Linked DNA regions of Neodiprion lecontei. The protein of the gene in region 2 purifies or fractionates together with the protein of the main gene of each other region. This does not show direct contact. Links are inferred from orthologs where the notes say so. Each region holds a gene or a part of one and is shown on either strand. Other genes may lie near its edges. The genes, in order: endonuclease G, mitochondrial; dnaJ homolog subfamily A member 2; nuclear migration protein nudC.

Evidence for each region.
Region 1: the proteins of dnaJ homolog subfamily A member 2 (region 2) and endonuclease G, mitochondrial purify together in Homo sapiens (affinity purification with mass spectrometry; 3 studies listed by BioGRID and IntAct, with this or other methods). This does not show direct contact. The link is inferred for Neodiprion lecontei from reciprocal best matches to the Homo sapiens genes DNAJA2 and ENDOG.
Region 3: the proteins of dnaJ homolog subfamily A member 2 (region 2) and nuclear migration protein nudC purify together in Homo sapiens (affinity purification with mass spectrometry; 4 studies listed by BioGRID and IntAct, with this or other methods). This does not show direct contact. The link is inferred for Neodiprion lecontei from reciprocal best matches to the Homo sapiens genes DNAJA2 and NUDC.

What each region holds. Positions count from the first base shown.
Region 1 is NC_060262.1:28,810,202-28,820,800, forward strand, and holds endonuclease G, mitochondrial, read left to right. Parts: upstream 1-5,444; 5' UTR 5,445-5,568; coding exon 5,569-5,817; intron 5,818-5,886; exon of another isoform or gene 5,887-5,965; intron 5,966-5,986; coding exon 5,987-6,180; intron 6,181-6,502; exon of another isoform or gene 6,503-6,504; coding exon 6,505-6,741; exon of another isoform or gene 6,742-6,949; coding exon 6,950-7,130; exon of another isoform or gene 7,131-7,416; coding exon 7,417-7,521; 3' UTR 7,522-8,179; downstream 8,180-10,599. Other genes in the region: kinesin-like protein Nod, read right to left, coding at 483-506, 834-918, 1,138-1,559, 1,654-1,749, 1,814-1,868, 2,033-2,597, 2,793-3,007, 3,231-3,541 and 1 more; protein crumbs, read right to left, coding at 10,456-10,599. UniProt on the Homo sapiens protein: Endonuclease that preferentially catalyzes the cleavage of double-stranded 5-hydroxymethylcytosine (5hmC)-modified DNA.
Region 2 is NC_060261.1:35,411,052-35,422,660, reverse strand, and holds dnaJ homolog subfamily A member 2, read left to right. Parts: upstream 1-2,692; 5' UTR 2,693-2,791; coding exon 2,792-2,860; intron 2,861-3,567; coding exon 3,568-3,793; intron 3,794-3,918; coding exon 3,919-3,994; intron 3,995-4,068; coding exon 4,069-4,149; intron 4,150-4,325; coding exon 4,326-4,585; intron 4,586-4,697; coding exon 4,698-5,041; intron 5,042-5,191; coding exon 5,192-5,374; 3' UTR 5,375-6,591; downstream 6,592-11,609. Other genes in the region: pre-mRNA-splicing factor CWC25 homolog, read right to left, coding at 21-283, 392-1,051, 1,125-1,285, 1,826-2,165, 2,329-2,346; zinc finger protein Xfin, read left to right, coding at 10,770-11,246, 11,505-11,609. UniProt on the Homo sapiens protein: Co-chaperone of Hsc70. Stimulates ATP hydrolysis and the folding of unfolded proteins mediated by HSPA1A/B (in vitro).
Region 3 is NC_060260.1:24,293,719-24,303,927, forward strand, and holds the start of nuclear migration protein nudC, read right to left. Parts: upstream 5,672-10,209; 5' UTR 5,480-5,671; coding exon 5,408-5,479; intron 5,312-5,407; coding exon 5,234-5,311; intron 4,136-5,233; coding exon 3,926-4,135; intron 3,829-3,925; coding exon 3,625-3,828; intron 772-3,624; exon of another isoform or gene 43-771; coding exon of another isoform or gene 17-42; intron 1-16. Other genes in the region: uncharacterized protein LOC107227537, read left to right, coding at 17-42; bifunctional peptidase and (3S)-lysyl hydroxylase JMJD7, read right to left, coding at 6,658-6,847, 7,114-7,381, 7,575-8,066, 8,561-8,756; GDP-fucose transporter 1, read left to right, coding at 9,205-9,269, 9,504-9,708, 10,206-10,209. UniProt on the Homo sapiens protein: Plays a role in neurogenesis and neuronal migration. Necessary for correct formation of mitotic spindles and chromosome separation during mitosis. Necessary for cytokinesis and cell proliferation.

The DNA.
Region 1 (10,599 bases), on a different chromosome or scaffold from region 2:
AAATTTCAACAAGTTTCCTCATTCAATTTCACTCGTCGTTATCGTGTCTCTTATTTATAACATACCAATGTGTAAATATCCCGCAAGACGGATTAAAAAGCAAGAAATTTTTTCTCTAACAATAAATTGAAAGTTTTCCAGTGTTCTCAATAAAACCGGTTAAAGATCAGTACTGTTGAATTCAAATTTTACTAATTCATGAGTTGAATAGCGTGATTTTAACTGACTAATGACTAATTTTGAAAAAAGCCTTACTGAAACAACATATCGAAAGTTTGTAAATACTTTCTTTGAAGTGACTACGATTTTTTATCACAGACTTATGCAAAGAAAAAAGGAGCTTATGAAATAAGTATAAAAACGATGGTAGTTAAAATTTTCAAGTAAGTAATTGAGTATATTATATATTTTTTTGATATTGCGCATAAGCAGACATAAAATCGTCAAAAAATTCCACCGTTGTTCAGCGAGCATACGAAATACTATTCCAGAAACACGTTATTTGCCTGAAACAATTAAGGCAAATAATTAATACATGTTGTACACATACAATACAATTATTGAACTGATGTATTGCAAAACTGTAGGATACACAAGAATCTCGATTTTAGAAAACGTATTTCTTGGTGCTGTGCTACTGAGAATGGTCAGGCATAGAACCAACAGCTCCATACATAAAAAAAATACAACTCAACATTTCGCACACAAGCAGCAACATATTGAATATACGGTTGAAAAAGGAGGTCTAAACGAATTTGATTGTGAATACTTTGGTCTCGAGTTGCTGTCAGAATCGAGGCTTGAGTTTATTGGATTTCAGTATTACAACTTACCGCAAAAAATCTGTCACGAACTTTTTTAGTCCAAATGGGGATGTTCTCTAAGTCTTTCAAAGATCTGAAGTTTCCATGTATCAATCTGGAATTATGCAATTGTTTGTGGTTATATTTGTTTAACATAGTATATCAAGTGTCCTTTAAACTTGTATATTTTTCATCAGTATATCTATGCCTATCCAATGCTAACTAACATAGATGATCAAGATTTGAGGTAACCCACTTTTGAAGCTAAAAGTCCTGAAAATCGCATTTACAGTCACAAATGCGCTTTAAATAGTTAAAACAAAATTGTTATTACCTGTATTGATATATTGTTATCGCTGTTTTGCATCCAATTAGTGGCAAGGCTGTCAGTTGTTCTGCAGTACTGGTATTTAATATTCTTAAAATGTTCTTACTATGTGCCATTCGCTTGTACTTCAATTCTTTTGTTTCATTTTGAGTATTGTCAGAACGGTCATTGTCTGAACGTTCATCATTCGATTCCTGTGAGTCTGGATCTTGCTTCAACATCGATTGTAAGTAGTTTTCAGCAAATTTCATCATTTTTCTTGAACTGGGACAATTAATTTGTTTACGTTCTAAGATTGTACCAGCATCATGTAGTTCTGTATTTGAGGGTGCAAAAAAATCAGTTGTTATAACAGCATTCATCCTTTTTATCATGTTTCCTCGTTGGTGATATATTCCGACTTTTCCCTGATCACCACCTGTCACATTCTGTAAAATCGAATAATATTGAAGGTTTAGCATTTTCTGTCTTCAGAAATTAACTTGTAAAAATTTATTTTCCGAGGTGAGCTAATTTTTTTACTGAAGCTTGATGAACAGATTGTGGTTGCATTGGTAAAATGGGACTGAGTAATTCAAGATCAAAAACTGGGCATTCATATTGCATTTCTGCAGATATCTGCAAAATAAGAAACAAATTATTTTCCTACACACGTACACTTTAATGCATATAAATTTCTCACCTCGGTTTTCAGTGTTGGTAGGTGCAGTTTTGCATTAGTTTCATCTACTGGGGAGCTGCAAAAAGTAATCACTCATTGATGAATTCCTATATTAAAAACTGAATCTGTACATAAAAAAATTGATATTAATAATTCACTATCTGTATAACATTGGGATAGCAACAATTTGCGATTGCGTAGTGATGTGAATGTGTCGCAGATACATCAATAAACATATACCTTGAACAACTATCTCCTTGAAGTGTGTCACATTGATATTGTTTAGGTCTGGTCGAGTTTGTGCTTACGCTAGTGTCATATTCACTTTCAGTTTGTAGTTCGCCAATAGAGACTGTCGAAGCTAATGAATGTAGAGGCTCGACAGAAGTCAATCCCGGTTGTTCATCTTTTACAGGCATATCAGTGGGCTTCAATGGCGTTACATTTTCTTTAGAATCCTGTTTCATTTCAGCTCGATAAAAATTTTCGTCAGTCTTTTTGAGAATTACACTACATATTTTCATCTTGTAGTTTGATGATGCTGCTGACACGGAATCTTCTGCAGGATCCAAAATCAGGACGGTGCTTCCAGCTGGTGATAATAATGTAGAAAGTTGTCGAGTCGTGTCTTCCAGCCGATTAGTAAATTTGGTACACGAAGTAGTACCGTTCATTTGCAGAGGGTGTATTTCTAAATTCTTCGTACGTTCAGCAAAGTGTAGTGCCTTCATAGTATTATTGTAATCAGACGGATGAGTAGTCATGCAAGCTACCAAAGATATAAGGCTCTTGCTATCTACAAAACCTGCAAGGAAATCGATTTGAAATAAAAAAACATAATTACACATAGAGATATGATTTGGCCAATCAAACAGGATAAACACAAGTTGAAAAATTGAAAAATGTGTTTTGAACCATAGAATATGTGCAAACGAAGTAGGGTGCAGCAACAAAGTTTGGTAGTAAAATAAAATTGTTCAGGTATGCAATTAATAATCACCTTTCAAAACTGATGTCAATGTACTGTTATTGTGCACTGTTGAAACTGAACCCTTAGCTTCTGGAATTGATGTAATCACTCTATTTAATATTGAAAGACTTTTATTGACATGACCTTTTTTAACAAATGCTGGATTATTCTCAGCTTCCATTTGGTCAAGAATTTCTGATCCTGCTAGATCTACTAGATTTAATTTTGATTCTAGTAATGTTTCCCTGCAACATGAGTTTTATATAATTCACTTAGAACATGTGTTAAATATAAGTCATGTAAAAAACCTACAGTTGTACAAGAAAGAGTGGTCAAATAGATTAATCATAGATTTTAGATTGCCACATTACTTACTATCCAAGAACTTGATATAATTATATTTGGATTTTTACAGTTATTACAAATACCAATATGAGGAGTAAAGATAGATATCATTTGATTATTTACCCATCTGGAATCTTTAGATGAAGTGTCACGATTGTGTGTGATTGCGGATCATTCAATGGCAACATGTGTTCTTGCTTCAATTCAAGAGCTGCTTTAATGAGTTGAAATCCTTCTTCTTTTGTTTTGATATTTTGAACTTTTGGATTTATTGCTACGTGTTTATGAATCTCAAGTGCAATCCCCATATTCAGTAGATCATGAGGTTCTTCATCTAATATCTCTATTATTGACATCGAAACTTCAATTGCATTCTGCTCAAAGACGTGCTTTATACATCGCTGTATCAAACCAGTGGTGTGCCAACTATTCAGCTATACAAAAATTTGTGCACAAGTCTTATACAGTAGACTATATAATCACAACTTATACATATCTTAAGAAAACATGGGTATTGTTTTGGATAATGTTTTCAGTGATTTGAAAAAAGTTGCAAGAGGCTGAATGTAATATGACTCTTTCTTTAGGTTTTACTTTCTAATTGTAAGAATTCAAATTGAGTAGTGCTGGAAACCAATGCTAAATAGTAATGATCACTCATTTGAATTCAATCTGTGTTTACAAAAAATGTGAAACTGTAAATTACAAAACAATGTTCTTTTTGCTTTTGTTCAATATTTTCTTGTTCGTAATACTGACAAAGGCATATATTAATATATCAATATTTTTGAGTCAGCCCATGTTTCAAAATAAAAAAGTTCTTCACGAACATTTCAGGCCAACAAAACTTAATTGTCAACTGAATGTATGGTTTCCAAGTTTAATTAACAGAAGTTTATGGTGAAATTTCTCTTTATGCAGAGATAATCATGCTTTTTATTTTTCAAATACAATGTGAAAAAGCCATCCGGAGCTTAAACATCCAGTTTCAAATATTCTTAAAAATTTTCCATAAAAATCTATGGTCTAAAGTTTGGAGCTTGTTTAAGAATAAAGATCCAGTGAACTTGTATTAAAATCTTTATTTATCGTGTCAGAAGACCAAATTTAAAATTTAATAGCATATGTACTCTACCATAAGTTATGGTTAGTATTTTTTGGTACTTGAAAGTGGTTTGTGTCACACTGTAATCTCAGTTGGACTGTGAAATATGTTCTCGCATATAGTGGCAAAATAATGATGTAGTGAAAAATTGGATCACTTAAGCTCACAGTCAGTATTAAACACAAAAGAGTTATTAAACTTTTATGTAAGTACAATAAATTATTACCAGTGGGAGTAGAGTTCCCATTGTATAAGATTTCCCACTTCCAGTTTGACCATATGCCAAAATTATAGAACTGTAGCCCTGGAGTGTTTTCTCAACCACGGAATATGCAACTGCCTTATAAACACGTTCCTGTGATGCATTCCCCCATTTGATATGATCGAAAGTGAATAACTCGCCATTAATTTTTAACGCTCTAGAGTCTTCTGCCACTTTGGATATAACTGACTTATAATCTGAGCTGGGTTTGCACGGTTTGATGCGTACAGTGACTTGTACGTTGGAACATTTCTTCTTAGATGATGATGCCATAACTGTTGCAACTTTCAGATGTACTTTATAGTCAACTAAAATTAGGAAAATAGAATTCGTTGCAGAGTCGTTGACGGAAAAATATTTTGTTTACGTTTTACACGTGAGCTCTATTACAAATAAAAATTCATTATAAGGGTTCGGTGCTACTTGGTTTCTGTATGCTTTTCTCTTCCGGACGAAATAAAGCGAGTTCAGAAAACTTGCGTCAGGTATACGGAAAAGATAGGCCGTATTTTAAAAACGAACGTTAAAACGTTAACGAATCGTGTATATTTTACCCTTGAAATATGTAACTCGACAGTATTGTGGAACCACCGCTATATCAAAGAGATTTCGAATCAATCTGGACTCGCTGCAAGTCTGGATAAGTTCCGCGTAATTGGACGGATCTTCCGTTTTGCGTCCTTCCTATATGTGAGTTCCAACTTAAAACTGTGATCTAAAACAAATGACGTGTCGTAAGGATCATTGAAAGCGACGTTTTGTTATAGGTATGTATGTATTCATTCGCTCAAGTTGAAAACTTCAGTCTACACCGCGCCACGAATTGTGGAAATTTGCGCTGTAAAATTGCTTTTACTGGCGACTTCCGGTCTATCCGGCAATCCGATTAGCTTTGGACGGGCCAAAACAAGCGAATGGAGCGTCCCGACGTTGAGTATGCGCAGTCGAAACTGATATCAGTGGCAGCTGAGTTTTTTGGCCTTAAACCAGGTCGTCTGCTACGGCGTGCGATATAGTACAGTTAAATCATTGGCTGCATTGCTGGAACTTTGTAAGCAAGATTCTAGTTACGAATAATAGCAAAAGCGTCAGGTATGGCTTTGAAGATAACCGCGTTAACCAGCGTTGGTCTCGGAGGATGGTACGCGGGCCAGCTTTTTGAGAAATGGAAACACGTTCAAAAAGATCGCGACTGTCAGACGAGTCTTCTCTCGGAGTTTAGCATTGAGAGAATGCCAGGACTTCCAATATTTGGAACAGTCTCAGCAGCAACTCCTATAGGATCGAACAATAATGATTCACATTTAACGAGCCTTTCAACGTCAACTTCGAGGACTTCGCAGGCATGTTATTCAAATTATAATTTATAAAGTATTTCCCAACTCAATTCGCAACTAGAACATCAACCCTACTTTGGTGTATCTCTCATTTTTATCCTTGTTTGCACTGTAATTAGCTTCAGGCAACGTACAAAATTACGTGTTAAATCCGTATCATTTTCACTACTAATAGATAATGAGGTTTGGTTTCCCTGGTCTTGATCATGTCAGATCGTATGATGATTTTGTACTGTCATATGACAGACGTAACAGAATTGCCCATTGGGTGTTCGAGCACCTTTCGAAGGATAATGTGAAGTCCAATGGAGACGTCGACAGGTCCCAGTGTGAATTCAAACCTGATAAAACCATACATCCATTTTTCAGGTAAAGTATGCAGTTCATCTCATTGTCAAATATGCATGAGGTTAAAGTTAGTAACATTACTGTAACAATGCACGTTTAGGAAAACTTGTTACTCCGCACCTTTGTGATTGTCTGAAATTAAGTAAATCGTAATAAACAAAACATACTCATATATTAGAAAGCCAACTCCGTGAAAATCATTTAAAAATTACGGAATAATCTTTACCTTGATGTTTCGGTACGGTAATGATAGTAAATTTAGGCTCATAAATATTTTAAGCAATTGCAAAGTAGTCGTAAGAAAATTTGATTGTGTATTAAATTCCCTCTGCTTTTTCATGCTAGGTCAGACAATAAAGATTATAAATACAGTGGTTATGATCGTGGACATTTAGCAGCAGCTGGTAACCACAAAGCACATCAAAAACATATTGAACAGACATTTTTCCTGTCAAATATAGCACCACAAGTAGGGGTAGGTTTCAACAGAGATGCTTGGAATAAACTGGAAAAATATGTGAGAAAGATGACTGAAATTTACACAGATGTGTATGTTTGTACAGGGCCCTTGTTTCTTCCTAAGTAAGTAGATGTATAAGTTTGCAAGTGGTATGAGAATTTATCCTTTGATGTCATTTAGGACTTAAATATAAGATTTTCATAAGAATTGCTAAATGAAAATATCCTAGTTTCTGATACTTGGGTTTGGGCCTTTCACTTTATAGATGCACCATACTTCTTTATTCATTATCGTTATAACGACATTCAATAATTATACGTATATTAACAGAAAAGAAGTTGATGGGAAAAAATATATAAAATACGAGGTGATTGGCACAAATCATGTGGCTGTACCTACGCACTTTTACAAAGTAATCGTGGGGCAAACTAAAGATTGCAGATTAGAAATGGAAGCCTTTGTGATGCCAAATGCTCCAATAGACAGCACGGCACCATTGACAAATTTTCAGGTATACCGTGGGTCGAAATAGCCTCTGTTCAAAACAAATAAGTGTAATAAAGTTTTCCAGCATATTTCATTCAATTCATAAATCAACCTATTCAGACACAATAAAATATAACACTAATTTTATGGGATATTATTTAATTCTTTGTCTGATGTATGATATTATTTTAGACACTTATTTGTAAGGATTTAAATATAAACCTCTAATTCACTATTTCCCCTTTGTATGACAGGGTTGAAAATACATTGAATAAGATTCTATACTAAAGCACCTAATATTCGTATCACAGGTACCACCGGAAAGTGTCGAACGAGCTGCAGGCCTTTTATTCTTTGACAAAATATCACGCGATAAATTATCCAAGATAAATGGAAAACGTGTTGGATGGATGTAATGTTTAATCACTATAACAGGAAGTAAATGAATTATACACATACAGAGCCTTTTCCCTGACTCTAAACAGGGAATGCAGTAGAAGCCTGCTCAATCAAATCTTCATGCACAACAAAAATATTATGCAGCTTGCTGCGGTTTGTTACACCTTGTGTATAATTCTTTTACATAGCTTCAAGGAAACAGCGCTCTACATATATTTTACTTCTGTTGACTACATCTATAGATTTCTTTTATTTTGTTGAAATTGTAAATACTTAAATACCCTTCCAGTCGGAGCTATAGGTTTGAATTACCGAGAGCAAAACACATTGTTGAGTTTCTTAAAAAAACTAAAAACAATAATATAATCTCACATTATGTGTTATGTAAATATTTTATTTTAAAATTCGTAACCAAATAATAGCTCCTACTGATGCATCATAATCCATAATGGTGCTGAAATATACCTAAGGCCTGATTGTACCATGGCAAATTAAAGTTGAGCTGAATTTCAAGTGCTAAAAATGAAGTTAAGATCCACTTTAATTTCAAATAACAGAGCAATCGGGTCTTATATGTAGATACTGTATAGTTTTGTTCTAGTCTTCCGTGTGTTGCAATGTAAATATTACCGTATCATGAGCTGAAAAAATAAACAAATAAATATTTTCAAATAACTTGCGTATTTCATCACTCTTCACTTGTCCATCTCCCAATAATTTAATATCAACGAAGTTCAGAGTCACATGGGGTAAATTTATCGTCCAAATATTTTTCATTCACGTTGTGTGAAAAAAATTACAAATTTTATATTTACAATTTCCGAAATAAATGTATACAATTTTATTTTGTACAATAAGCTGATATATTGTTATATAGTAAAGGAGGGCTGTTAGATGATTTACTGTTTTACGAACTGTAAAAGTAGTTATATAAACTTCTTACAGACCTATTTTCTCTGTATAAAATACTTTCACCAATATCTGGTTCGAAAATCATTTTAATAAATCTGCTATTTCATATTATACTTGCTGCTACCATGTAGCTGTACACTTCGAGTGAATACTTTGCAAATAAATGTTATTATAGGTATACTATAATTCTGTATTTATTATTACAACTTTGAAGTTTTGTCTAAGCAGAACTGTAAATATATGTATATATATACATATACGTATAAATGAATGCAGTTAACTTTTACATAAACTATGAATCAGAAGAAAATTCTGCATGCAAGTTGCAGCTACTAAACGCCACAGTGATTCTGATTTAAATAAATTAAACATGCAGATCAATGTTGTAACTATGCAATTCATTCTTGTTTACAGAAACTCAAAACTTGAGCCCTGAACACTATACAAGACGAATAACACGATTTTCGTAAAATCGTAAAATCCTTCCGATCCAGTCATTTCTAATGATTAAATTCGAGCAAATTCCTTCCTACAATCAAAAACTTTCACTACAATTACTTTGGTCGTCATGGTAAATGTTATATACCAAATTAAAAATCAATTTTCAGTACGAAATGTGTATAGAGATCTTATCCATAAAAACCACTATTAATATCCTTAACTTATAATCTACAGTATTTACAAGAATAATTAACGGAGTGCTGTTTTAAAAATCATAGTTCCAGGCTCATCAAACGAAACAAAATACATTTCTACAAATGATTCAAGCACTTCTATACCGTTCATAAATAGATTATAATTATCAATATCATTATTATTATTATCAGTAATCCTTCACTGATATTTGCGTTTATTGCTCACGTTTAAGTAAAGACATCAAATTATGCTTCAGAGATCTTTTAATAGTCAAATATTGGGAATATTTTAAGTAGTATATCTCTATATACATAGAGACATTCAGAGTGGTTGTACATATATATTAGGCACTAAATGGACGGGTTGCGTTATATTTATAGGCCTTCTTCAATATTATAAGTAAATTATTCAACATTAAGGACACTTATTATCGCTTAAGTACACTTCGAATGGATTCGTTTAGTTTAAGTATCACTGTTAATCTTATACTGAGCATATATAGGAACCTACTCGAGTGCATTTATTTTTTTGTTTTCGGAATGCATTGTAACGATATATCTAGGTCTCGTTTTTTTTTAACACTAGCTTCTGCATATCAGGTGTTATTATTGTCATTCTATAAGGCCGTCATAAGTTGACTGGTCAATGATGAGAAAAGCTTACAATTAGTTTTCAAGACTATCTAATTATATGAAATTGTTGGGCAGATAAAGTGTGACTCAGATAGCCTAATTGCTAATAAACGGTTGAATTTCGTTTAAAACTCAATCCTGGATGGCGATCCTACATTTTTTCACACTTGATCTAAACATCACCAACTGCATAAATCTGATGGTGGCCTGATTTCATATATATTGCGTCTAAAGTAAACTGCTTAAAAAATCCATTGGTAATGCAATACTGTAACAGAATATTTTTCAGAACTTGGGTAAATGCACTCATGAAGCAGTTATCCTGAAACTCAACTGATGCTAAAAAAAGCTCTCCTAATTGTTTCTAATTCAGTTACTGCATATAATAGTGCATTTTAAGAACCGCAATATAACATTCATGTACATGAGTAAAATACGGCAATTTCTGGTCGTTTGTCATCTGCTAGAAGGTAAAACAGTCAATAAAATTTATATTAACACCTGCTTTTGTCTTTTCTCTTTAGAAACTAGATTTCGATTCAATTGAAAATTCATCAGTTTCAACATAAGCAAGTTCACAAACGAAATGAACATCCGCCTAATATACAGAAATAATCGTTTCTATTACTTATCTATACCCTTATTAACTGGTGTTATGACAAAAATAATGCTTACAAAATCTCATTGCGGCTGAGGAGTAGAAGAAACAATAACTTATTCAAGGGACTAGGTTTAACTGACGACAACTCATGTTTACACACTTCAAGTTCCCTAGATCAATCTTTCTTCCGGCGGAGGTTTCATCACATTGTCCATTTCTACTCTGGGGTTACTAAATTCTTGAGCACTGGGGCTATATGTACCGCGAGTAGCCCGTTTTTTTCGAGCCATCATAAAAAGGGCTATTAATGACCC
Region 2 (11,609 bases):
TCTGGGTTCATTTAATTCACCTGATGAATTCTTTGTTGTAAGTTTTATCACTAATTTCCCGTTTTTCCTCATCACGATACCTCTTCACATTTTGTTCTCGTTCCTTATCTCTCCATGACGCATTGACCATCATTTCTTGTCTTCGTCTCTCCTTTTCATCTTCTGTCAGCTTTTCTCGCTTAGGTGGTACCCAGCGTTTCTCTGCCATTTTTTTTTCATGCGGTTTCACCGTATCTAAATGATTAGACGTTCCAGATGGTACAATTTTAGTTCCGTCAGACCTCTGAAATTTAAAATATTAGTTTCTTAACATATGATTCAAGGGGAAACTTCAAATTTTCACTTGAGTAACGGATCAGATATACCTGAAGCACAAAAATCTTCTACTTACTATTAGACCATAATTTCCTCTCGATTTCATGTGGTGTTCTTCTTCGTCATTACTGCTATATTCAGGACTGTGTAATCTTTTTGTTTCTGACCTTAAAGACTTGCTGGATTTCCTACCAAAGTCATTTGAATTTCGACGTCGTTTGGTTTGGTGTCTATTTTTTTGGAATCCTTCAGTGTGGTTAACACTACCGGTTCTTTTGTGCTTGTCCTTAGACCCTGAGGCATCTTCCTCGTGACTGTAACTATTATTTTTATATCTTCTTCGATCCAATCGCTCATGTCCTCTTTCAGTATCATAGCTAGTGACTCTCGACTTATGGCTGCGTTTTTTAAATTCATTTTCATCAATGCTAGGCTGTTTCTTCCACGATTTATCTTTTGAGTTTGTTTTTCTTTCCATTTCTTCATCCTCACTGGTTTCTTGAGAATCGCTCGACTTTTTACTCTCCTTTTTCTTCTTTTGTTTTTGCAGCTTTTTCACGGACATTAGTAGGTCTTTTTCATTTATTTTATTTTTAAGCTTATTATACTTTGCAGCTAATAAATTGTCCAAGTCTTTATCACTGTCGCTACCTTCAGAATCATGCTTACTCTGCTTCTTGCTTTTCCTTTTTTTATGCTTTTTTTCAGCCTTACTTTTTGTTGCTTGCTCTTCCAACTGTATACAAAATACAAATGATATGTTGCCCAAAATTGCTGTACTACTATATTGATTTAATTGAACAACTCACTAGCTGTTTAAGCTGCTTCAGTTTAACAGGATTTTTCAACAACTGACTCCGGCTTTCCATCTCTTTTTTTTTTATAGCATACAATGGATCTTCTTGTAATTTTCTGGCTAAATCCACTTGTTCATTGCCCGAAAAGAATCTTAGTGATGGTGGTATGCATTCTGCAGAGGAAAAACAAGTGAAAGATAACCACAATAGCAAATTTTCTATATAGACAAAGCACTTAGCGAAAATGCTATAGTTGAACCTCGATTCTGCAGACTTTCGGCCCCTATCACACGAGAAAGAATCTGCGGTAGCACCAGAATTGGTTCTCTAAATTGTCCGTAGAATTGAGGTCCGACTGTATTTAGATGATTAAGCAACCCTATTTGAATTATCCAAAGAGATATACAATTGGAGTAGAATTATGCTACGCAAAAGTTTACTGGGCACGGTGTTAGTAGTTGATCCAATCCTTCATGGTTTTAGATATTCCAAACCAGATAACATTGTTGACAGATGTTACTGTTGTGGTATTTGGAAAACTACAATAACTTATGGACTGAACTCTTTCTGATATAATCCACACTAGTCCTGGGGGACTTTATTTCAAACTGAAATTCTTTTCGCGACTTGAATAGAGTTACAGTGTTATGTGTGGGTTCACTGAGAACTACAAACGGCTCATTTCTTTAATTATTTGAACCTTGGCAATTTACCATATTCTACATGATTTTTGGGTGCACGATTTTGCTCCGCTTCTTTCTCAGCCTGAGCCATCTGTTCAAATGGTTTATCGATAGCGCGTCCTAAGAGATAATCTTCCCGATTTAACATTTGATTAGGCCCCTGATACATCCAGTCTAATTTTTTATCCTCTTTTTTCTCAATTACGCCTTGGTCCATGGCATATTTTGTCATATCTTCTCGATCTTTCTCCATCTCAATCTCACGCTTTAACTCCGCTATTCTTTTCTTTTCCTGGCTGTTCTGCTGCTCCGCTTTCCACACCTTTTCCATATTTTTCATTGTAGAAGGATGCCATGACTTCTTCAAATTCTACATAATTACATAGTCAAACACGTTATTATAAGAAATTTTATGTTGTGTTTATGTTATGAAACCTGGGTTATGGAAAAAAACAATGCAAGAAATTCGGAGTAATCAAGGTAGGAAAAAAATTATTATATTGTAGGTTATTACATTTTATTCAACTACTTACAAGGTCTCCGCCTCCCATCTTTGAAAATCGGTGGTAAATTCGGAGCTTTCTTACTGTTCTTCGAATGCCTCACAATTTCCACGCAGCAGATTATGAACTTATGTCAATAATACTGACACAACTGAACATTTACTCACAAATAATCGTTGAGAAGATATTAAAACCACAAAGTAGTAATATGGAAAACCACAGGAAAATTACTAAGGTCCTTTGCCTACTGCGTAGAAACGGAAAAAAATGGAACTATTCAAGTTAGATAGAAAAACCTTTTGTAGTCTAAAATACTTAGATAGAGTTAGTTGACGTCTAACCTGGTAGTCAAGGGCCATGTTTTGTATCCTGAGTTCGGTATCTCAGGTACGTCTGATTACCCAACGACTAGAGGATTTTGGCTTGTGCTCCGCCACGCCAAAGTCGGGGCCTTTTATAATTTCTCTGGGATTATTCGATTTTTCATCGCATAATGGCAGATAATAAACTTTACGAAGTACTCCGAGTGCCACGAACTGCCGGCGACGCAGAAATCAAAAAGGTAACTGCATCATTCCGACAGGAATTTGCAAAAATATTACCGCATTATCTTCTCGAGGTCAAACCTTGTTCCCTATTCTTCAACAGATAATTAGCACTCCACGATGTGCAACTTGACTTTTGACTAATCATTCTTTCGTTATTAACGGTTTTCATTACATAACATTGTGAATCACTTCAATTTCTCTACTTATTTCGATTAAAATTATTATCGTTTTTGTTCTTGAGTTGCATACTCGTTTTTCTGTGCCTTTTCCTGACAAAGAAACAATAAATTTTATTCTATGGGTTCTTAGAATTTTTCCGCATTTTACCGTTACCTTTAGTGTCCCTCTCCACCAATGAAATAGTTCAATAGCCACTACCATTACCTACGTTTTTCATCAACTCTCAATTCTTCAGTGTGAAACCTTATTTTTATGTTTAATTAAATCATTTTCATTATTATTACTATCATTATTTGTATGGCTATTAATGTTTAGCAATTTGAATGAATAAATCACTTCGATATGGAAGCTGAGCTGCGCAGATAATAAATTCATCTTTATTGCTACTTCAAACAGACAAAGTATTGCAAATAATTTCACTGTACCTTCAACTATTTTTAAGTCTTCTTTGTAATTTTTATCCCTATGTCATAATTAAACATTAAATTTCACTAGGTGATAATATGTCACAAGATAGCCGTTACATTTGGAAAATTATCAGTCCTATAGAAAACTTGCAAAGGAGTTTCATCCCGACAAAAATCCGGAAGCTGGTGATAAATTTAAAGAAATTTCATTTGCTTATGAAGTCTTATCCGACCCTAAGAAACGCCAAATTTATGATAAACATGGAATAAAAGGTGTACAAGAAGGAGCCAGTGATGGATTTCCCTCAGATGACATATTTTCCCAGCTTTTTGGTGGCGGAGCCAGTGGTTTGTTCGGTGGTAAGTTTCTTCAATTTTGGACAATTTTTTAACCAACATTTACATGCTAAATTATTTAATCAAATGATTTCCCTTGCCTTTTTTGTGTCATTTTTTGATTCAATTTATACTGGATTTTTTTTAAGGACTGGGAGGTTTCGGCGGTGGTATGGGTGGCAGGCGAAAATCCCGTCGTGGTGAAGACACTGTTCATCCGCTCAAGTGAGTGTCTGAGAATAAATAATGACTAATGAAGCTTTATTCAAATGATCCTTAATCTGTATGTTTACTTGCAGGGTAACTCTGGAAGACATGTACAATGGAAAAACTGCAAAGCTGCAGCTCAGCAAAAATGTGCTCTGTGCCGCTTGTGCTGGGTAACAATTCATTTCACACTTTCTTTAAAAATATTTTAGCATAATAATGTGTTATTTTCTACCTGACTTTAATTTTCATCATGACTAGAGAAAGTCTGATTGCATTTGAGAATATCTTTGGTAGAAAAATTTCTTTCCAGAATTAATATATATACTTATCTAATATGTATTGTTAGGATTGGTGGAGCTGAAGGTGCTGTAACCACATGCAAGCAATGCCGTGGGTACGGTTACAAAGTTTCATACAGGCAGTTGGCACCAGGTATGGCGCAGCAGATTCAAGAGAAATGCACTCATTGTCAAACTACTGGTGAAATAATCAATGAGAAAGATAGATGTACAACATGTGAAGGCAAAAAAGTTGTCAATCAAACTAAAATTTTAGAAGTCCATGTTGACAAAGGAATGCGGGAGTCGCAGAAAATTCTCTTCAGAGGTAAAATTTTATGTAGATATTAGTTGAAATATGACCGAAATTTCTGAATAATGAACAAAATTGTCATAAATTTTTATGATCATGCAAAATATGATGTATTAATGTAATTTAGGCGAAGGGGATCAAATGCCAGAAGTACAGCCTGGCGATGTTGTTATTGTATTGCAACAGAAACCTCATCCAACCTTTGAAAGATCTGGGGATGATTTGATTATGACTAAAAGCATCGGACTAGCTGAAGCTCTTTGTGGAGCAAGTTTTGTAGTGCGTCATTTAGATGGACGAAATTTGCTCATTAAACATCCTGCTGGTCATGTGATTCGTCCTGGTGATGTGAAAGGAGTTGTCGGTGAAGGGATGCCACAGTACAGGAATCCTTTCGAAAAAGGGAATCTTTACATAAATTTTGAAGTAACTTTCCCTAAAAATCACTTTTGTTCCGAAAAAGTGCTCATGGTGAGTTTTGACTTTTTTTACCTTTATCTGAACGAACCATTAGCTATTCAATTTACTTTCTAATCCTGCCAGATTTTCTATCATAAAATTTGCACGTATGAAATGAGCATGTTCCTCTACCATTGATCAACGTTACTATTTTATGAACAGGATTTAAAAACAACGCTTGGACCAAACATTCCACCCACCGTGGTGCCGCGTGATGCCGAGGAAGTGGATCTGCAAGAATATGATCCAACGCATCGTGATGCGTCAGGACGATCGGCAGAAGCGTACGCGTCAGACGAAGATGAGATGCATCAACATTCCGGCGTGCAATGTGCACATCAATAAAATTTATAACTAATTATCTCCACCAGTTCTTAAAGAATAATAAAATGATTGAGTAGCTAATCACTCGACAAGTAACAAGTCGTCAACAAAGAGGGTGGTCACCAAAGTCCTCGGACATTTTTAATACCGTCAAGTATCGTTCATTTAAAGAGGAGTAATTAAATGGTTGAGAATTAGTACAATTTACAATCCTAAATCAACGAAAAGACAAAAATGTCATAAATTGTCTATACCGTTGATTGCCACCCGTGAATAAGCAATTTCTCTGGTTTTTAAAATGTGATTGCCACACATAGATGTTTTATCTGCCTGCAATTTTATCTATTTTAGTTTTATGTTTTATATCTCATTTTTCTATCATCTTGATAACAACATGACTCGCAAAATTGTTCGTCATCTGTACCTTCAATGAATACTTTTCTGAACAAAATGATATTAAACTTATAAACTACAACTACATCAACCAAAGCCGGAAATTGCAGTAAGCATAGCATCAGTAAAAGTATTCCGTCATGTACTGAAGTAGGTTTCAAGAGGCTTGATTCACAAATTTTCGATTTTTTTCTTATCAGAATATATTGATCACTTGCCACGAAGGCCATGCGCGATTTAAGTCGTCAATGTACAGAACAAGTGTTGATTTATTTTTTTATTTTTATTTAATTATTTGTTTCAGTGATATTTTAATTACTACAGTGACAAGTTTGTAATACAACCATTATAATGAATAATAATTGAATCATAATGCCAGAAATGAAGTGAAAAAAAACTTGCATGTGTTATTCAAATTCAATATACGACAACTTTCAAGGATGTAAGGAAGTGACAAACAAAAAAGAAAATCGCGAACGAAGTTCCAGAAGAACGAATTTGTATCATTCGAAAAATTCCCGACGTAGAAAATTATTTTATGTAATTGAATTGATCGAGGAAGTAAGAGTGAGCGAATGAGAGACTAGATAATTGCAAAATGGATGAATCGAGTATAAATATTGTGCAGTATGGTGAAAAAAATCGAGTACACTAGTTTTTCAGTAAATAGTCACATTTCACTCTGTACGCAGCACTCGTACACAAATAATTATCACATGTATCCATGTACATCATGTGTCTATAATGTAGATTAACCGTCGTCCTAATCGGCTTGGGCCGACATATTTATCAATTATTAGCATCAACTGCAGCCGTTTCAATAAAACGTATGCCTTGATCATCAAGTGATGCACCTTGTTCATCTCTTTTCCAGCACGCGCAAGGTGCGAATAGTTATTCAGAAAAATATTCCCCATTATACCAGCTAAGTGGATAAAATTATTTCGTGATTTAAAGGAATTTGCCTACCGGTTTGCGTTTCACTCACTCTGCTTATATAACTTCGTAAATATTTACTTGTTCGCTAATGAATTAAACAACCAGTAAGTTGGAGAATAATGGATGAAGTCAGATAAATATTATTCTTTAATATTTGTACCAAAAGTATTGGTAATAATCCGATTAATGGTGGAAATCCCACAGTCAGAAGATATTAAAGAAATTTCCGTTTCGTATACATCAATATCCCAGGAATATACCTTGTTCGAAGTCTGCTATTGAATCCGCATCCGACTAAGGGACATGCATACTTCTTTCTTCCATTGAATCATTTTGTTACTTCATCGCTCTTTCAATCAGAGCACAGCCGCAAATAAAGACATGAATGTATGTCATACATCTTATATTATTCTTCTGCAACTATCTGAAAGGTTATACACCTGTGGAATTTTTACTTGGCTTCAGTAAGAATTCTGCTAGGTTTGTTGTAATAATCCTGATATTACTGCAGAACAAAACGTTCGTGAATCCAGTTAGTTAATCCTGCACACGGTACAGACGTAGTTAAAATCAATACTTGCAGTAGTAATATCAATTTACGGGAAAAAGAATTCCGACTATTCGTTTCTGTATAAGGTAGATCAGTTCAATATAATTTGCCCGTATTTCTTTATTTTTGCAACAAAAGATGATGTCAAAACTTATAAGTTTCGTGACAGTATAAACGTTTCTCTTTCACAGGTTTGATATAGATAGATGTATTTCAGCATGGCTGATGTCACACAGTACCTTTTTCAATCTGCTGATACTTTGCTTTATCGACTTTGTTTTTAACGAAAAGGGAAACACGTGACCAGATCATTTTCCTCCTAAACTATTGAAATATAAAATAACCAAAAATCAACGAAACTTCCCTATTAGAGGATTTTTTCAACCTATAAGCACTCGGATAGATATACGCGTCGTGTATATACGGCATCGGAATCTCAGGCAATCAGGTAAAACTTTTTTCCATATTAGATAGAAAGTGTGAGCGTAATTCATTGCTCGTGATCAGTTAGGGGATCGTTTCTCTGTACTCTGAAGAGTTTGGGAATGTGTAATAGCGGTGTTGCACAAAGTAGAATACACTACATAGTTGACTCTGCGGTGTAAGTCTGACTTTGCACGATGGCCACTGCGTGTCCCTGGAATACTTCGGCGACGGACGTGCACGAAGATAACGGGTATCGAGCTAGGCTGTAGACGTAGGTACTTATTAGCCTTACGATAATCTTGTATACATTTATATGTTATACAGCGAAAGATACTTCTGATTTATAAATCACGTATTATAGGCGTATATGTATAAGTATTGCAATGTAAGATTGTACTGCCGCAATCGGCGTTCAAGAGAATATGAATCGGTCTGATTACATTTTGGCGAAAAATAATTATTTGGTAATTTTCGAAGACGGGAGAGCGTGCGTGCATGCAGCATATGTCGAATAATTATGGAAATCTTGTCTATATTTATAGTTGCCGAAGGTCAGGGTATCGTTTCTAATTTCCACATCAACCTATTCTGCTTTAAAATGTCAACGGCAATCTTATTACGAAAATAGTGAATATTCGATAATTTGCAGGAACAAAGTCGCGTTCGATATTATACGCATGCATGCACGTTCCTTGCACGTTGAAATGTCGATTCCATACGGATTCTCGCGCTATCGTCTCTCCGCGTATCTTACATGCATCTATATGCAGCGTTACTTCGTATCTATACCGTATTAGTGTAAGTTTAGTACGTATGTATAAAAAACAATATGCCGGTCATCACCGGAAATCCACGGCGAGGGTAATATCTCATGCAATCGCATTTGCGGTCAACTTTGGGGCAAGTCAGTTTTTTATTCTTCATTTCCTGCACCAATTTCTCCTGTCGATTGTCGGAATAATCATAACAGCTGCATGGTACTAGCCGCGTCATTTCCGGGCAGACCATTAATCGAAACAGGAAAAAAGGAGAGAGGAAAATGGCGACTAGGCGTTCGCTCACTGAATTAGTTCGCTTAGCCTGCACCGATGAATACTATGCTTCAAATCCGGTAAATCGGTGCTGATGTAGCTCAAAGTGTAGAATAAGTCTACCTTGATCATGGTAATAAATAAGTATATAAGGTCCTCTGACGCTATCGCATTTCGCGTCGGACCTGTCCCGTAGCCCGTAATATGCCCGTAGGTAAGTTGGAAGGGAGTGGAATTGCAGATGGCGCCCGCCTGCGCTACTTGGCCATCGGCGTCGTCAGTCATCCCGCATCCGGGAGGGGCTGACGGTGGGTTTCTTCACCGTTCTTGCAGAAACGATCGTCTCGCATACACAGTATAGACGTACAACACGTGCGCGATTAATACTTTATTGATTAATAAGGAGCTATTCGGAGGGTCATCGCTATTTTATTGTCCTGTTTATCCTCTCCTGATTATTCGCTGATTCCATCAACACACCTCGCGTCATTTTCTTCGCATAAATATCTCGCACTCCTCCGCCGAGACGGTCGTAGCTGTCGTAAACGCCTTGCGAAGCTCTTCGATCCGATGTATGTATACACGTGCCCCTGACACATGCATGGATCCAACGTGTATGTCATCATCGGTATACATTCATACTTACATCTACATGGACGTATATATATCACTATCCATAAAGTTGTGTGACCGAGCTCTCTATCTCTCCTTTTTTCTCCTGTTTTCTCCATACGTTAACACATTTATCGTCATTCTCTCTCCCTCTGGTTCTCTCACTCTCGCTCCCTCTTTAGTGCCAACAATTGTTTTCTTCAAATACTATAATCGCGATCGTCCGACGGCTCTTAAGCACTCGAGAGTCGGTGGCATTCTGTGCTTGCTTGCTGGCTGGCAAGCGTTGCAAGGCTGCAGGCTGCTCGGGACTTTCCTCGGTGGTGTGCGTGCTACCTACTACCTAGCTGTGTTACCCGCGTGCGCGAGTGTTTACACCGACGAACGAGACCCCGACGCACCGACGACCGACCGAGCGACCGCCTGCTGCCGCCGTCGTCGCCGCTGCCACCACCGCCGCCGCTCCTCCTGGCTTTCCTCTAGAGTCTAGTGGCAAGACGCAAGAGGCCAGGGCAGCAAGCAAAGCCAAAAGCACACCGTGTAAGAGTTGAGCAATACACGCAACACGCCGTCACGACCTCGCCGTATTCCAATAGCAAGGTTCTATGCCAGGCATCGTTGACTATCAGTGAATAATAACTTCGAGGGTCCGAGTATCAACTAACAAGGTACTAAATCATGTAATTACTCTGCATTACCACTGTCCTTCCTTCTAGACAAATATGCACGTTCAACTCGGCACGTCTCGCTGCCACGTCTTTTGATTGTCAATTTACTTATTCTTCGGGGGTTTATCAACTCTTCTCTCTTCTACTTGGGTACTGTTTTGTGTGTACCGTGCAGTTGGAAGACGATATAACTACAGCACATCTTGGGTCTCTTCGGAAAGAGGTAAAGAGTGAAGGCGGGAGCGAGAAGGGAATAGAGAGTGAGAGTGAGAGCGTGCGAGTATATGGCTTAGCTGGTTGTTAGGTTGGAGCGAGTGAGACGCACGCTGTCATTCCAACCAGCGCGGAAGTCGCATGGATATTGGATGTTCGGCGACGTGAGAAAGCGGAGGAACGGAAGGTCGGAAACAGTCATGCAATGGCGGAGTACCAACAGCTATCCTTCAAGTTGCTGTAATTAATCCTTTGTGCTTGTAATGCTAATTATCTCTACAGATTATTGTACTGGCGCTATGTTGCGTAATGATCGATTGTTTTGTTGCAACCATTGTGACCGATCAGTGAGCCAGTTCAGGGAATCTGGTTCTCTTCAGCTTTGGCGTAATTTCGATGAATAATCGAATGACATGTCCATTTATTTGACTGGCATTTTCAGCTCAGCGAAGAATGGGAATCGGATGCGTTTCAAGAAACTGGCACTCGACCCCAGCAATTTGGAAATTATTTTTCTAAGAACCAGGATTTTTTCAGGAGTTGATAGGGGGCTACGAAAAATAACAGCCACGGAACAGAACAAGATGGCGGACTCGCTGCCCCGTTTGCGAGCGCTGCGTCCTCGACCTCAACCTGCTGTAGCGGCTCCCCCACCCACCACCGGACACCCTGCGAAAGAAAGAAACCACGAAGTAAATGTCGAGGACGAGGATGAGCCGATGGAACAGGACCAAGAGCGCGAGGACACCAGGAGGAGCAAGAGGGGAGACGTTTCGGATGATGAGCCAACAGCAATGGCGGATGAAGAGGAGGATGAGGATGACGCGTCGGCGGCCGTAGAGGACGAGGAGGAAGAAGGGGAGAAGGAGGACGTTGATGAAGACGGCGAGGAAGATGACGAGGAGGGGAAATTGGTAATAAAAGAAGAGCCGACCGAAAGCCCGCTCGTCGATACAGAGGAGGGGTCGAAAGCATACGAATGTACAACTTGCAGGACGGTCAAAAAATTTCCCAGTCTTAAAAGCTACCTTCATCACCTAAAAAAAGAACACAAGCAAAGGGTGAGTGTTATCAATCGCGGACAAAGTCCCAGAATTATCGAATTTGATGCAGGAACCCATTGCTACAAGAATTCGAATTATAAATATCGATTACGTGCAGTATGAACAGTTGCTTACTGTACAGGCGAAAACAATCAGATCCTTCCTAGGATTGCCTATAGTTAGGCGCTGGCGGGGTGTCGCATACGTCATGTTCTTGCGCATAGGATCATTATTATTTTTACACAGCGAACTTAGTGATGAATAGCTCATTTTTAGGTAAGATGCTACGAGTGTCCCCATTGTGATTTTGTCTGCCAACACGCGAAAAAACTCCAGCGTCATTTTCGAGTTGCTCACGAGGATCTGCAGGACAAAATAGCT
Region 3 (10,209 bases), on a different chromosome or scaffold from region 2:
TTTACTTGTGTTACAGTGAGAGCTCGCGACAAGTACAATTAAACGCGAGAGCATCATCGTAATATAAACACCGAAGAAGAAGAGGACGAGGAAGCAGAAGCAGAAGCAGAAGCGAAAGAAGAAGAAGAGAATTCTTAGAATAAGAAGAATAAGAAGAAAAAGAAGAATAGATTATAATATATTGATACGGTATTTGATACGAAATTAATCGAACGACATAATAAATTGAAAATTTGCTACTCGACATCGAAAACAAACAAGAATCCGAATAAGTACGGATTTCAATGAATTCAATATTATGTATAGTAGAATATTAGTTCAATAACGTATAGTATGTTATCAATCTATATAATATGATAGATTTAAGGCTGTATTGCACTGTGTTAAATGTGTGGTACGTGAAATTAGTAATTACATTTATGTAATGAGCGCGCTGTGTGCCGTGTACTTCGATAAGGCCTTTTAGATTCGTAATAATTTATAAATGAAGAAAAAAAGAACGAAACGAAAAAACAAACTTGTAAGAAAAAAAAAAAAAAAAACAAAATACAAAAACAAAAGCAATCGCCGAAACCAACCGACAAAAGAAAATATAGCAGAATTGAGAAATCAAACGCAAGCCAAGCCCTTGTTGTTTAAACGAATATTGAATATATGATATACAATCAAATTAACAACATTATTTATTATCTTTCGATAAAAAAGGAGAAAAAAAAGAAAAAAAAAATCATACAAGTAATATGTTATAACAGCGGTTCCAGGATAGTTTAGCAAACATTTATGTAAACCATATAAACCTACCCGTTCAGAAAGCTTTTGATGTAAAGGTAAAATTTAGTATACTTTCGCATCGTCGAACATTCCGTAGATTTCTCTGACGTTCGAGTATATGAAATTATATCTACGATGAGAAAATTTGAAAAGAAAAATAAACAAAAAATAGCAATAGTAGTAGTAGTAGCAGCAGTAGCAGTAGCAGTAGCAGTAGTAGTAATAATAATAATAATAATAATAGTAATAACAACAATAACAATAATTATTATTATTATAGAACCCAGATGCAGCTTGATTACATCGTTAATTAAGATTCTTTAATTAGATATGTAATTTAGAGTTAATAATTTAATTGTTACTAACTTTTTACAAAGTCTAAATCAAACTTGGAGGCGATGTCTCGAACCAACGTGTGAAGGCAGCGTGCGAGATAATTTAAAAACAAAGTATACAAAACAAAAAGAACGTGGAATTTCATTGATCGATAATTGATAAAGGATGGTTGCATCATCATTCTTTGTATCTGTGATATTACTTGTGTATTAATTAATCATCGATTGAACAAGAAACTCTCGAATTATTATCGCCAAGTGTTTTATTCTTATCCCCTCCCTCTTTGCCACTCGTATAAATCCAACGATTATCGATTCCTATTCGAATGTCACAATCCTTGCCTCGTTTTACATTCACAAGTGACATAATGCGTATTTTTTTTATCAAATGCGTAATAAGAATGCTCAGACAATTATAACGAAAAAATTTCGACACTCATCGGAGCGCAGGTCGTATTTTTACGTAAGTAATAGTCAACATTTTACTACTAGTCGATCAAACAATTTCAAAACAACGAAAAACATTGCGCAACACGCGAAATGAAGTCATTTCTGATCGTACGAAAAATTAAAATACTTCCATGGAATGTTAAGAACAATCGAAGATAAAATCGGTGGTTATATTCCAGAACTGAAGTAACTTCTTCCTTGGCCAAAATAAGCGGACACGTATATTTTATTATTACCTAAATAAATTTTTCACGCCCGATACCGATTTTTCAATATTATAAGGTAAGTATGGAATTTTTCTGCCTAATGAATACTCTTTGACAAATATTTGTAATTTCAGAAGTAAAAATTGACTAATAATGTTAGACATACAGCAATTACGAAATCATACTGCAAATAATGTTCGTATTTTTTGCGTAATGCGAAATTTTTCAATTACGTAATTCATATAACGTGGTTATTGTAGAGAACCGATGACAAAGAGACAATGAGTTAAAGATACTTGTTGAAATGGAAACATCTTTTTTTTTCTAATTCTTGTAGTACTTTATAAAATACTGTACACGGAGAGAAAAATCTTAGGTGTCTTTTACATCACGATTAGTAACAGCAGGGTAATTTTTCTCAGATTTTTCTCTCCGTGTATACTCATTACAAAATATAAAAGATGAATTATTACTTCGTCTTATTTACATACTGTATTTTGCCAAGAACTAGGTAAAAATTTCTACACTATCACGAGCCTACTTGAAAAATTTTAAATGACGAATTTTTTTAAGAAGGTGTATATGAGACATTCCGTATCGAACCGAATACTTTGCTGGTAAAATATTCATCGGAAAAAAGCGATAGGTGTTTGAAGAAAAAAACGTTGCATCCATATTCTCGACTTCAGAATATAATTGCAAATTTACAATTTTGCACACACGCTCTTCTACTACATACATCTTCAAAGGTAATGAATATAGTTGAAGAAAATCAAGAGATATCGAAAAGGGCATGAAATAACCTCTGGAAATGAATTTCATTGGGTGAATTCTTTGACCTTACTTTTTGCCGTTGACTGTGTCTTTAGAATTCTAAAAAAAATATGGTTATATTCGTTTACTAGCTGTACATTAACTAATCAATATTCAAAATGGAGGTACGATCAAATCTATTTGAAAAAATTCGATCCTCTTGCATCATGGTGGTGCACACCAAGGTATAGGATTCATTTTTAAGTTACTATTCTACAAATATTGAAAAATATAATTTAAACTTTATCTGGTTTTTTTTACATATTGAAAATGGAAATATTTCTTCTGATGAGGAAAAAGTGTTCATGCAGTAAATGGACAATATGAAAAGTAAATTACGATTCCGAATGAGTTCGGCTAAAAAGAAACCACATTTTGAGTATTTGAAGAACGGTAATTTAAAAAAAGAACTTCAAACTTTGGTATGTTCCGTTGTAAGACAAGATTGATTTTATTCACAAAGATCAGATCGCGGGTCTTTTTTTTAAATTTGTGTGTCGATATACAATTAAAAATGGAATAAAAAGATAATTTTTTAGACTTTTAAAATTGGCAGCCGATAATAAGAGGCAAGGTTAAAGAATCTGACATTAAAATTTACGGAAAAACAATCATAAGAAAAGAATGTATCACATCAGTTTAAAGGGTGTTTCATGGCCTTTCCTATACCTCTTTATTCGTTGAATTACTTTTGAAGATTTAGCCACTAGAAGGAGAACGTTTGTGCCGAATTTGAAAGTTGAAATTGCATTTTGATGTCGAGAATATAGATACATTTTTTTTTTGGCAAACACGTATATTTTGGCTCAAGCGTTTTGCTTCAAATTTGGAGACAGCATTTGGGGATAGTTTATCCTCTTTGCCGTGTTCCGATTTTTTTTTTTTAATGCAAGAGAGACCGTTTGAAATTAAAAATTAATTTTTCATTAAAAATGTACAACTTTTGTACATAAATGCAGGGGAGGATAATTATAAAAAAAGAATGGTACACGGACAGATTTCCCTTATTTTAGCTTTACTTGAAAGTTAAAAACTGTTCAAAAACTCACCTCAACTTCTTGAAGAGTCTGTGTCCACCTGTAGTTAGGCATGTCAGCACCATTACCGCTGTTAGGCTTCAATTTCCCCTTCTCCTTTTCATCTTCTTCCTCGTCATCATCTTTCTCTGGTTTACCACTACCAACTTCCTCAGTCTTTACTTGTGCAATATCTCCGCTAGGTCCGGCAACAGCTGGTGGCTCGGTAGATACTTTCTGAAAAAAGTTACGATATTTATATTTTACATTTTTGTTCATAACTGCATGGTGAGGTCTAGTTTCGAAAATCATTTGTCAGTTATCATGATCTTACTTTGCTGTCGAGCTCAGCTTGCAGCTCGACTGCTTGTTCGTCTGTCAATTCAACAATCTTTGACTCGCTTTTGAACTGTTCTTCCTCTTCTTTCTTCTTTCGCTCTGCTCTTTCCTTACGTCTCCTTTCTTGCTCAGCTCGCTCTGCCTTCTCAGCTGATACTTTATTTACTGCAGTTGCCTCATGTTTCTTAAATTTACTCATCACAAGCTATAACAGGCCAAGAAATAGAACATGTCAGAAAAATTCTCGGTGCTTACGTTTCCATCTTTGCGAAAATAAAACTAAACGTGGACAAAATTCTAATTACAACATTCGTACGCTACTATAAAAGATGATATTTAAGCAAAAACCAAATTTCAATTCACCAATTTCAATTTCATGACAAATGTTCAAGTTTCATGTTTGAGATTCAAATGAACATTGAAATGCAACAAAATGTTGACATTCCAGGTGAGTTATGCACAATGCTATGTATCAGAGTGCAGTATAATCTGCATCGTCGCCTTTATTTCTGATTCTGACAGATGTTCCTAAATATAATTGTTCTGAGAAGGGCCCCCATCTGGGCTGAAACGTTGACAAAAAAAACTGTTTTTTTTTTTTTTACTGACCTTCATATCCAAGAATAATATTTACTCAACAACTAACGAGGTCAAGAAACCATTATTCAACAGTACTCAAATCCTTAAAAGTATTTATTGAACAGTGCAGTTCTCATTTTCATTCAGACCTGTCATATACAATAATCTGATTCCATGGCATCGATGAAAATGTCTTTATAATAAACATATCGATAGGAATAATATTTATCCAAATATGACAATCTCACTAATGAGGTGATAAACAGTTTGGAAACATTGGGAAACAATACTCTAAAACAAAGTCTGTATCACGCCTCAATGAATTCAGTTTATTCGTTGTACCTGGCCTGGTGACTAAAAGGCGTTGACAATAATTTAGGGCCACAATTAATACAGCACAGCTGTAAAATCAAACAAACAACAGCGACTTGTCATGGACTTATTATTGAGTATCATAAGCCTTGCATTGATGAAACGTTTGTGCAGATAGATGGTGAAATACAAGTTTTTGTGAGGTTAAATTAGGTTAGGTTAGTTAATACTTGTCTTTAGTATCGTTATCCAGCATAGTGTGAATTTGGGAATTTAGTAGGTGACAAAAAAATTACATGTTGGCTTGTCACCTGCAAACTAAGACAGGTAAGTCAGTAGGGTTGATGCGAGAAACCGGGTCAATCGAAAACTATGCCATACAAACGTGTGCGATAAATATTAGAGAAAATACCTTTTCTGCTGCGCCCTCACCACCTCCAGTGTAGAAATCAGTCTTTCGAGCCAAGAAACTGAATATCGTATCCAAAAGCTGTAAACAACGAAAATCCTCGTTTCAGAGAAACCAGAGTGAATTACCGGGCTGACTTAGAGGTTATGTGATCGTGACAAACAACGCAAATCTTACGTCTTGTACGCCTCCCTCGTGTTGCTGAGCCATCGCCAGCAGCATTCCGTCAAATTGCTCTTCCTTCGGCATGTTTTCTAATCTTTATCCTATCTTTGATTCCCAAAATATCGATATCACACCAGTTTTAACTTTTACTACTATAAAATGATAAATGCGCGATACACACTTGACAGTTGCCTGAGAAACGCCGATTCTGGAAACGTGCAGTACGCCAATCGTAGTCTACAGACAAATGACGAACTACGCGCACAGTACGCCATGATGTAGGAAGATGAGAAGGTGTGTTCCACTCATGTTCCACTAAACTCTGTATAGAGTGCGTTCCGAAATTAGCTTCGGTGCTGTCAGTAATTTATTATCTCTGTTGTGTAGCCGAATTTGTGACTAGCTCTGTCTCTGTCTTCCACAGTTCTTGTCAACTAGTTTCGGAACGCGCCCATATCTATGCACCCAACTCAAAGAACCAATCGCGTGCCTAATCCGTGTGAAGGCCATCTTGGATTTTCGACCAATTGCGTTCGAGGTCAAGTAGCGGATTTGTTTTAAAGTGTGCAAATCATCACATGGTCGTGGTCAACGAAATGGTCGACGTGGCCTTGAAACCTGGTCATTGACAGAAGATACATTATCCGTCGATACAGCGTCATATCTAAATTCATGATCGTATCTAACTTTTCAAATCATGCATACTACCACGGACCTTGCACTTCACTTTTCCCGTGGTGCTGTCATCGCAATGTTCCAGACGTACGGTGGGTGGCATAGAATAAGGCGCGATCTCGAAGATTTATCTTTTCATTAATATACGGATTGTTTCGTGAAAATACGGCAAGACCCATCCTTCAATCAGCAATTGTTTTAACATTTAACGTTTGATATTTGTTTCTTATACACCAGGAGCATGGGACTAAAAAAATACCGATAACAAGCACTGTCTGTTATGTAGAGATCAGCGATTGACTTCAAATTGCCGATGCGCAGGCGGATTTACCCGTAAATAATCCATCTTCAGTACAAGTGTCACTACATTCAAAAAATAGAAGCATTGGTTTCGTTCACCTCCAAATTCTACAAGGTTTTAAGAACCGGCAACATGTACCTATTTACAAAAGACTAACTTTATTCTATTATTTACTTGTTTTTTTTTTAGCCCTATGAACGCAACTGGAGTTAAGTGTTAGAAATAATATACTAATTCAAATTGAAATTTTGATCACGATGTGATTCGAACCCTTAACTCCAATCGTCTATTTACACAAGGCCTCCAAAGCTTTGTAGTAAGCGTACTTTATATCATACTCCATATCGTACCAGTAATTCACTGCAATACATGCATGTGACTGTGTGACATGGTGAAACCACAGCGAAGGCAAATATAAAACGTCACCTTCACACACTGTTACTCTGAGTGTATTTGCATTCTTATAAGCTGGGTATCTGTAATTGGAAATATTTAATCAGTATAACAAAGTAAATTGAGAATCAATTGACAATTGATACTGGCTCAGCTGTTGATGTACAGACACTGTATAGATAATATTTATTCAGGCATCGCTTGCTGTTTTCTTCAAGACTCATTTATCGAAGCTAACAACGTCTTTGTACATATCACTCTATTGAACCGATATAAATTCAATACACTCATTAATGAAATTACTAATTTCAAATTTTGATAAACATTTTTTTAATATTACGTTACTCACCTCATGTAATCTGGGTTTAAAGGATCAATCGATATCCAGGGTATAACGTTAAAATCCAACTGAAAATCATTTCTTTCCTCCAAGAATTCATCTATTGTTGACTCTGTAATGATTGGGTCAATCAACCATTCCCCTGGTTTTATTTCACGGTAATTTGCGGGTGGATAATTCTTGTAAGGAATCCATGGTAAATCTGTGGGTGGATGTAACACAAATTCCTTTTCACCTGCTATGACGCAGTAAATATTTTCGTATGGGTCTTTGTGCACTGTAGAAAATAATGTTATTGATTATGGACTTAGAACACTATAAAATTGTGAGCTCCACCTTATTCTATTGTATTAGGTATATCGCGCTTTTGCTTGATATTGTTTAGAAGCCTCTATTCTGACAGGGTCTCAGAAATATGCTTTGTAGAAATTCTTTGTCCACTATCAACTAGAAGACCTGAACAATATTACTTGATGTAACAGCTCTCTGATCGCCCATCCAAAAATTAACGGCATCTGGATTTTTTCCAAAAGTCTCAGTAGCCCATGAAATGTCAGTTCCAGCATCCGACCACAATTCAGGGAAATCTTCGTTGAAGTTAGAGTTTTGTTTTTGGATATAATAGACATTTCCCTGAGTTGGACTTTCCAATGCATCCAAAAACGTGGACATTGGGACGAGCCGCTCCTCCGGCATGACAAAATACTCTTTTTTTCCAGTTCCATCTTCCAACTCTTTTACTGCAATTGCATCAGCATATCCGTTCGGTGTTACAGCAACCGATACAATTTTGTCACCAAGTGTCTCGCGGAAGTATGGTATATTCCATTTACCAATCGCTGGCCACTGGCTAACTCCGCCTCTTATAAGCAGTGGTAAGTTCTTGGATACATACTCTCGATGGAAAATGAGTGGAGAAATCGACCTTTCGACCTCGGATACCTTTTTGGTCAAGTAAAGTTCTGGAAATAAATTATGAAAATATAATTTAACCGATTGCATATGCAGTATTTTTCCAAAAATATATGAATGTGATAAGGTTTTTGTCGGAACGTATTACTTGTTAATAGCTCTAAGCAAACATCTACACATTCCAAAATATACCAGAAATGTTGTTAAAAGAAGAAGGCAATAATTTATTGTATGTGATAGTAAGATCACAAAGGTGGATGTATAATTGTACGATGCCAAGACAAAAGGCAAAATGTTAAATATACATGCTTTTTACCTCCTATCGTAATTAAATTTATTGAAAAACGCAAAGAATTAGCAAAAGGCAAAACTAAATTTGCGGATCAAAGACATATAAAACAATCCATAAAATCTTGTTCTCTGCTTTCCACAGTAAATTTTTCAAAAAACGTGAAAGGGGAAGTAGTTTTGCGATAAAATGTTCGAGAAATATCCTCGTGTTGTTGATCGTGGTTATGTTCATCATCGTGCATGTACAAAATACCTCTAGATTCTTGGGAAAGCACGTTGCAGAATCTTTTTATTTTATCTTCATTTTCGGGCAACATTTTTCCCACAACAACGTGACAAGTAGAACATTTAAAACAGCGCGGTTGGATGGAATTTTGATGCAGATCGCATACATCTAATAGAATTACACATGTCACACGTGTCGCGTCGTCACCGGTTTTGTTTTGCATAGAAACAGCTGAGATTTCGCGTCTCTGTTGCTCCGTCGAAAACTTCACAGGCTATCTCTCTCGATTCTAGATATTATTTTACGGAATGCGAAACTGCTGTAATAATAGAAAAATAATCACTAGGAGGAGTACGAAAATACGCGCTGTAGAAGAACTTAGCACAGTAGAAAATGACCGATAGATGCTGATTCGATGATAAATCGTCTAAACAGCTTGTCTAGTATTAACATTTACAATCTGAAACAACGGTGACCTACCGCAAATACTGTTATTAGATTCGAATTTTAAATAGAAGGGACTTTGCAGGGGTTCGGTTGACGCACCCGATTGATTCGTGTCATATCTGGTCCGCGCCAGGAAGCAAAAAATGCCACCTGTCACAAAATTCTTATCAAGCATTAGCGTGAGAAGTAAACTTTAACGTTAATTTTTAATTATATTCCTTAAAATGGTAGTGGAACCTGGTCTCGTCTCCCAATACATCCACATCGCCCTTGTTGTTGCAACTTACTGGTCAGTTAGGTTATGTTATTATTATTTGAAATACATATATTTACGTTTATTTCTTTTTATTAACGATTTAAATTCTGATGATTTCTTGGCCAACTTGGCGCGCCATGGTTGTTGCTTGAAAATAAAATTAACTTTATCACAACTTATCTTACTATTTAATTGCGTTACCAATAAATATGATGATAAAAAAGATTTTCTCAAATTTTACCTAGTACAATTCTTACTTCATTTCAGGATCGTTTCCATTTTAACTGTTTTCGTAAATAAGGCTCTCCTCTCTAGTAACGAAGTCAATTTAGATGCGCCACTATTTGTTACTTGGTTTCAATGCGTAGTCAGTGCTTTAATATGTACCACTTGGAGCAAGCTAGCCAAATTCTTTCCACACAGGATCAGTTTTCCTGAAGGACATCCTTACTGCATGGATGTTGTGAGAAAGGTAGTTCTTTTCTTTATCCCTTTCATCACATGTGAAAATCAACTTCACTATCCTTAACATATTGAAAAAGTCACAGGCATACACATTATTGAGCACATAAATATACAGCATAACTTGAAAATGTTCAAGATCCTTATAATATCTTTAAATTTTATTTAAGTCCTCTAAAATGGTCACAATTTTTTTCAATAATTTTAAACAATTTTCCAATTTCCGAACTCAAAGTTACAAGTAGTTAAATTCCATTTGTTAAATAAAAAGTATCTTGTAAGGGTAAATTTTCAAACGTGACAAATGCCAGAAATCCTGGATATTTATAACTGAATTTTTCTACACATATGTTTCATTTGATTGGAAAGCCAGAAAAATTAGCCAGTCGTAATATTACGAAAACAAAAATAACTGAAAGTTCTTATAGTCTACTATTATCGACTTAAATTTATATAAAAATCACCATATAAACGATATTTACTAAATACTAACACACTGTTCTCTAGGTCC